2 linked regions of the Drosophila melanogaster genome follow. The protein of the gene in region 1 interacts with the protein of each later gene in a biochemical or structural test. Each region holds a gene or a part of one and is shown on either strand. Other genes may lie near its edges.

The links. The genes of interacting proteins can lie anywhere in the genome.
Region 2: of the proteins of sky (region 1) and Rab35, one has a biochemical effect on the other in vitro, tested with the Drosophila melanogaster proteins (one study listed by BioGRID).

The regions. Positions count from the first base shown.
Region 1 is NT_033779.5:20,916,904-20,920,658, forward strand, and holds the start of sky (skywalker), read right to left. Parts: upstream 2,029-3,755; 5' UTR 1,896-2,028; exon of another isoform or gene 1,736-1,895; intron 559-1,735; exon of another isoform or gene 240-558; 5' UTR 2-239; intron 1-1. Other genes in the region: Mtp (microsomal triacylglycerol transfer protein), read right to left, coding at 2,336-2,489, 2,548-2,715, 2,783-3,323, 3,383-3,755. UniProt on the Drosophila melanogaster protein: GTPase-activating protein (GAP) for Rab35 which regulates synaptic vesicle (SV) protein recycling and turnover at the neuromuscular junction boutons and possibly ventral nerve cord via endosomal trafficking.
Region 2 is NC_004354.4:20,157,994-20,161,748, forward strand, and holds the start of Rab35 (Rab35), read right to left. Parts: upstream 1,880-3,755; 5' UTR 955-1,879; coding exon 903-954; intron 536-902; exon of another isoform or gene 365-535; coding exon of another isoform or gene 346-364; intron 277-345; coding exon 1-276. Other genes in the region: Phf7 (PHD finger protein 7), read right to left, coding at 2,925-3,755.

The sequences.
Region 1 (3,755 bases):
CCTGTCAATATCTGATGTTTTTGTTCTTGTTTTCCTTGCCCTTCTTCGTTGGTTATTTTTACTTTTTTTCTGTGTTCTTGTTCCGTTCTCTTTTTTCTGATTTGCTGCACTTGTTCTTTTTCTTATCCTCCTTCGTTGTTTTTATGCACTCGTTTTTTGTTTTGCTTGCTTCGTCCGTTTTATCGTGTTGTCACGTTTTCACTTTCACAGGTAAATTCTAAAGGAGCAAGATATATATTCTCTTTCCCATTTTATTACTCTGCCCAAGGGGGCGTGGCCGGGGAGGCGAAGGGCACTATTTGGCCTTTACACACACACTCACGCACGCACACAGAGGAGAGTGAAAAAGCGAGATGGATAAATAAACTACCTTAAAAGATGGATTTTCTAGTTTCCGAAATTCGCGTATTTCGTATATTTAAAGTGGTTTAACTATTTTCGCCCTACATCCATTTTTTTTTATATATATTTTTTATATTCTTTTTTTTATGTTTGTTTCAGCGGGAACCGAAAACACAAGCAGCGCGGTCGAAAAATTATCGGGCAATACGAAAGAGCGCCTTTTGCGGGTTGCTTAAATAGACTTTCGTTTGCTGCTTCGGTTGCGAACCTCTCGTCGTTGCTCGCTCTCCAACGTTTGACGAACAGTGGGATTAATGTGCAGTGGTATGCATGAAATACTGTTTTTTTTTTTTAGTTATTATTGTTTATTGTTTAGGAACAATTTACAAAATCTCATTATTAAAAAACTAAAGAATAATAAAATCATGATTTTATCAAGCTAATTCCAACTTTACTAAAACATAACATAACAACAATTTAGTGTATTTATATCAGTGAATTCGGATTTTTCACACAAAAAATCCTGTTTTAAGCACTGAAATAATGGCAGAAAGGATTAAGAACTTTCCCACTGTGCGGTTGGATGTCGGACGAGTGAGACTTAAAGAAGTTTGAGAGAGCATCACCCAAACCATACAAGTAAAAAACTAATGTTAGCAAATGAATTTATACATATTTTTGCAAATAAACCAACTTTTGAAATACACAAAATTATTATGAATGGAAATTTCTTTAAAGCCAAACAAAATTTTCACAATGCCGATAAGCAGGGTGCGTGATACCGTTATAAAAAGTGGGAGAATAGGGAGAGAGCAGCAAGTGCGCAAGTGTGTGTGGTAAAAAGGTACCCCTATCACAATGCAGTTCACAAAAATAGTCACCATCTGTGCCCCTGGTTTTGGATATTCTAGATCTTTCTTCAATATACATATTTCAGATTTCAGATCTCGTTTTTTATTTATTTATGATTCTTAATGCTTTCGTACGGAGTAGTAATTTGCGTTAAAATGTTGTGCCAATAAGATGCCAAGGCAAACGCCTCTTACAGATTGTTTTCTTAAAAAGTGATAACAATTCAGCAGAATAAATTACAAAAATTGCAGAACATTTCACACGTGGTTTTTTTGGTATTGCAACTTCACGCAACAGAAATTCCCGAACACGCACACATGAGCACAAACAGAACACGTCAACAACAACAATTCTTCTTCTTTCCCATCTCTTTCTCGCTCCAATTGTGTTTGTATGAGTTTAAAAGGCAAGGGAATTGTTAATTTTAGTACATTGCTTAGCACTTGATTTAAACGCGCAAATTGGTGACACAAATATCGATTTATTAAGTTTGAACTATTTAATTTGTCGCGCCTTTCAGCTTGCAAATAGAAGTATTTACTTTAGACAATCGGATGACGCTTTTGATTTCGCATTTGTTTGCGACTGTGTGTGTGCGACGAGCCTTCTAATTCCGACAAAAAGAAGAAGAGCACCATTCGGTGGCCTAATTTGTTTCACTTCTCCGGAATCAAGCTTTTCCGATGCCTGCTTCTATTAACCTTTATTTAATATGACTCGTGCGTTCGACGATATTTTTGCAGTAGTTATTTTCTTTTCGTGCTTGTGGAGTGCACCTCTTTTATGCCGCGTTTGAAGAAGAAGCACAACGTAGTAGTGTTTGAATGTACTGCGGAATTTAGGGATGGGAATGCGTAGCTCTTGCAATCGATAGCTCGATAAGTCCCCTTTCGCGTTTCGCAGCACTTGGGCGGGATTTTTAAATCTAAGGTGTGACTATTGTGAATCGAGAAAAAATGCACATTTCCACTTTTCCAGTAATTTTCGAGTTGCTCAAAAGATATTAAAAACTTGTTGCATTTGAAAATTAAATGGTCTTTGTTCGTTTAAGTTTACAACTATATCGAGTCTTAATCTCTGAGTTTTCACATAGAAATATAGTTTTTATGCAAGGAATCTCCAATAATCTCTTGAGTAGAATCTACAAGTCCCTAAAAATGAGGTTGCACATTTCGTTGTTTTTTTGGTTGAGGGCAAAAGTGCAGCCGGCAGTTTTGTGGGAGAGTGTAGAGCGCACATGTTTGGCATAAGGACGATCAACAGACTGCAGGAAAACCGAACGAACGTTGGTTTGTCTGTGAAGGAGGCTTTCAATTAGCATGTGAGTCATTAAAATAGTTCTAGCAAACTTACTTGAGAAGCTGTTCAGGTCGCTGGAGTTGCATGCACAATTTAATGCCGCTGTAGAAGTCCAAGTCCGCATTCAGACTCAACTTTGGTTCGTGGGTGATGCTGAAATCCTGCACTAATTTCGCATACGTAAAGCCAACGGCCAAATGACCAAGAACAGCGCTGCCAGTGCTATAAGCCAAAAGTTAATCGTGAGTTAAATAACATTCCAATCAAATGCTTTGGCTTTTTCACTTACTTCTGCTGGATTTCCGTCTGGGCATTTCGATTCCACAGGCTGAATCCCACCTTGCCATTGAGATCCACACTCCTGGCGCCCAGAACTCGCCAGTGGAGCGTCGCCCCGGAGGTCAGGATTATGTAGTGCTCGTTATCCTGGGACAAAGTGGTTGCCTGGTAAGCGGGCGTTGAGTCCGAGGCACTTCCTCCCCACACGTGACCCATTAGCTCGGTCTGACCGCTGAAGAATACTAGGGGTCGCAATTGAGCACCCTGCACACTGATCTCCATGCCCGCGGTGACCGCTTCGTCTTCGCTGAACTCATCATCCGCCGGGATTGCATCATTTCCATCGCCGGAGTCACCATCGCCTACCAGCGAGCCCAAGCCGGCAGTGTAGATGCCCAATTTAAAGCTGCTGGCTTGGGAACGGCCTGCGTGGAGCAGAAATTCCACGGAGCCACGTTTCAGGATTCCCTGATACACTTCCTGGGTACTTAGCAGGGTTTCGTTGAAGGCTGGAGCCTGGGAAAGCTGACGGGTGAGGACTGTCGTAAGACCTGTAAGTATTAAAGTTCATAATTGTTTGAACAGTGTCATTAGGAAATTAGGTACTCACCCTTTTGTCCCAGCACATTGTAGTTGTTTACATGCCTCCGCTTGACAAGCTCCGATTTGAACAAAGCCCTAAATCGCGGGCACTTCTCAGCCAGCATTCTTAGCTTCTGCAGCACGTATGTTTTGATCTCAAACTGGCGATCATTGGAGGCTAGGTAATCCAAGAAGTTGCCCAATTGCTCCTGAGTTGGCCGGAGGGACAGGATAATATCAAGAGCCAGAGTGCGAGCGGAGCTATCAAAGCGACGCTTTCGCTGGTAGAATATGCTCTCGAACTGCAAGCGATGTGAAGAGTTAAAGCTACCTAGGGGAAAGGCTTTCAGAGCCTGTAAGGCAGCCACCGATAAATTGGGAGCCTCGCCAGTTTGAGCGTG
Region 2 (3,755 bases), on another chromosome or scaffold:
AGTTATTCTGGATCTCCTCCAGCCAGCGGCGGACGTTCGCAAAGGATTCGCCGTTCGTGACGTCGTAGACGACAATGACGCCGTGGGTGCCGCGGTAGTAGGTGCTGGTGATTGTCCGGAAGCGCTCCTGCCCGGCCGTGTCCCAGATCTGCAGCTTTACGCGCATGCCCTCGATGTCCACGGTGCGGATCTTAAAGTCCACGCCGATGGTGGTGATGTAACTGCCTGAGAATGTGTCGTCCGAGAACCGGATGAGCAGCGACGACTTGCCCACGCCTGCAGGGGATCAGATGGAAAGATGGAATGGGATTCGTATTACAAAAATGTGATATCGTTACTACACACAAGTAAGCCCATTCGGCATATGACATTGCTGTGGAGCGGGGAGTGTTCTCCTGCTCCGGTTACCGCCGCAGCTGGTCTGCTCGCATATCAAGCTGTATATCCTGCCAGTGCGTCACCATTAGTCATGAGCCTGGTTTTGCCCGAGCCAGACCACCTTTCTCGAAATACGCCCAAATGAATATGTAGATAGCTACGTTAGGAGGAGGACAGGACTGATATAAAGTGCTTTTGCATTTATGATTAAATATATAAAATTAGTACAACCTAACACATGTTGAGTATGCCAAAAACATTGAGTATAGAAACAAGAAGCTGACGAATGTTGAAAGTATTATGGAAACTGAAAACAACATTACTCATACGCCATGTTGGCGTTAGCATTTTAAATGTAACATACATTAATGGTAATCAGATGCAGTAATGCGAAAGGGAGGTGGAGACAACTGCGTTTTTGGCCAGGAAACGGGGACAAATTGCAATTTACACCTGCTATTTTCAACTCGATGCTATTTTTAAGCACCTGGTCTGTGGGAAACGGGAATGCCTGGGAAACTCACCGCTATCGCCGATTATTAGCAACTTGAATAGATGATCGAAGCCGCGTGCCATTTTTCGACGTTTTTTCGCTGTTTTTCTGTGTTTTTCCTTGTTTTTGCAAGTGCTTTTATATTTACAGTTAGGCGCGTCGAACAATGCAAAATATACTTTTGTTTTCTTTTTTTCTGCTGCCTGCTCCCACACTCACACACACAGGAGCACACTCCCTGCGCTTACTCTCTCTCTCTCTCTCTTTCGCACTCTCTCGGAAGCGCCCTCTCTTTCGCCCCAAGCTACGACCCTCTCGCTCGCACTGGTGCAGCCGGCTGAATATCTGAGATAAGCTGTTGTTCTTTCTGGCTGCTGGTCTGTTGTTGTTGTTGTTTTTGCTGCTGTTGCTGATGTTTTTGTTGCTGTGTGATAAGCTATAGTTATTAGTGTTGTTGCGTTGCGAGTTAATTTATGTAAGTGTTGTTGCCGCCGCCTTGTTATTTAATTTCCTTTGATTAGGTAGGTGTGTTTCTCTTTTTTTGGCTCCACTGGTACAATTGTTGCTTTTGCTTTAACAGCGGATTTGCGAAGAGAAATCGAGCGGCAGGCTCATTTCCATCAGATCCAATGGCTTGCTGGCGGATAAGACGGCGATTTGGTGCCGAAAATATTTCAATATAGGCTGGCAAATTTTCGCAAAGCTCGACTCCCTCGCAATCGTGCGTCTCGCTCTCTCCAACACTGTAGCACAGACACAACACACGAACACATACGCACGCACGCACACACACACAGGAGTGAAGCTCTGGCTGACTGTTGAATTTATATTGGGCTTCTCGGCGGTCTCGAACTTTCCAGCTTCCGGGTTGCTCTTGCAGCGCTGAAAGGACGACGATTTGTGGGAATTTGTGGGCGTCGGCGTTGCGGATTAATTCTGGTTAATTCATATTCTGGATAAACTATTGCTAACGCACCCACACTAGAGACGGAACCAAATGCGATGTTTATGCTATCGATAGTTTAGGATAGATAGTACCCCACAAACATCGATTCATTTAGCCGGAGCATAAAGTCGAATTTTTCTGTAACTAAATATGCAATGTGCCCACTCAAAAAATTAAATTAGTTTAATAAATTAATACTGGCAATTTTTTTTAATATCAATATGTATCGATATATTTAGAGAACATTATCGCAAGTGTTGCCGTTTAGCGGGTTGCTAACGTTGCCACCTGTGCATAAACTTTTGGCCATATCCAGCACTTATTTATTATGAATGGCGCGATTTTTAAAAAATCTTCAAATAATCACTTATAAAGCCCATATTATATTAATACCAAAAAAAAAACTAAATATTATATACTTTCATACCGATTTGTAGCGGGTATTAACTAGAAGCAAAACGCTATACTCTTAATGAAAGTGAGTATTCGTAGTTTACAACTTTTGAGAAGTTTTTTCAACATCCAAATAAAATCATTCTAACTTATTTTTCAAATATTTTAATTTTATTTATTTCATTTTAGCGTTCAGATACTGGGATTCTTGATACAGATACTGGATTCAGGGATTCTTAGATCGCTAGTCAAAAAAATGTAATGCTTAGAGTAATTGAAATAATGTAGGCACTGCGAGCTGCTGAAAAGAAAGTCAGATGGGGAAAATAATGTCTACAGCTACTTAAAGTAAATATGTATACAAGTTATTTATACGTGTGGAAAGGAGCACTTACTTAGCTTACTTAACAAAGCAAATAAATGGTAAATGCATCTTATTAGCGAATACCGCTAGGAGAACAGGATTTTAATGGAATTTTATATGTACAAAAGGCGGAAAATAGAGAATAACGGGTGCGAACCAAACGCACGCATTTGGTCCACAACCTAGTCGATGTGATGGTTAATGGAATGTGCAAGTGTTATGTATCGTGATGTTGTCATCTGTTCTCCTAGTCCCTGCGGGTATCCTGCCCACTCAGGATATATCCATATTGATCTTGCCGTGTACATGGATTTGTGCGAGTGTGATCTATTGTAATGTCATCTGTTCTCCTAATCCTTGCGGCTGGCCATGTGGTTGGACAAGCGGTGGCGGGTCCTATTGGCCACACAGGATATATCCATGTTGGCGAGTGAGGAAGGCCTGTTGGCCAAAGTGCGGCGACGTAAGACACGTGGAGCAGGAGTGCTCGGCTCCGGCGAGATGGAGCCCAACAGACGCCTGCCATTCGACGGCGCAGCGGCAGTGGGCGTAAGTTGGCGCCTCTTCGACTCATATTCATCACTATCATATTCATCACTATCGTCATCGCTATCCGACACGTGTCTAGGCGGCGAGACGTATCTAGGGCGCCAGGGACGACGTCCATTCGATGTGGACGGCTCAGTGTTTTCTTGGTTATCAAGTGTCGATGCGGATGTGGATGTGGATGTGGATGTGGATGATGTCGCAGTTGCAGTAGCAGAGCGAAACGAGGTTACTACACTTGAGAGAAATGTTGTTTGCGTTCCCTGTGATTCAAATGTGCGAGTTCCACGATCGGCTAAAGCGCGTGCCCCCGCAGAAGTAGATGGTTGATCATCGGAGAGGGTCACCACGCGACTCTGCACTTTGGTATCGAACGCACGCTGAAAGACGGCATCATCGTCGGAGGAGCCGAAATCATCCCAATGGGAGGGTGATAGCTTCTCTTGAATCTGATCACCATTTAGGTGACCTGGACGTGGGGCTTCGGCCGAGTCGTCCATTGAGCCGGCGTCATCCGAGTCCGATTCGGCAACGGGCACTGCCTCCGGGCTGACGGCTGAGCAAACCTTGCAGACGTAGTTTTGGAGAGTCTTCAACGTGCAAAGGTAATGTGACGGATTGGCGCCACATGAGGT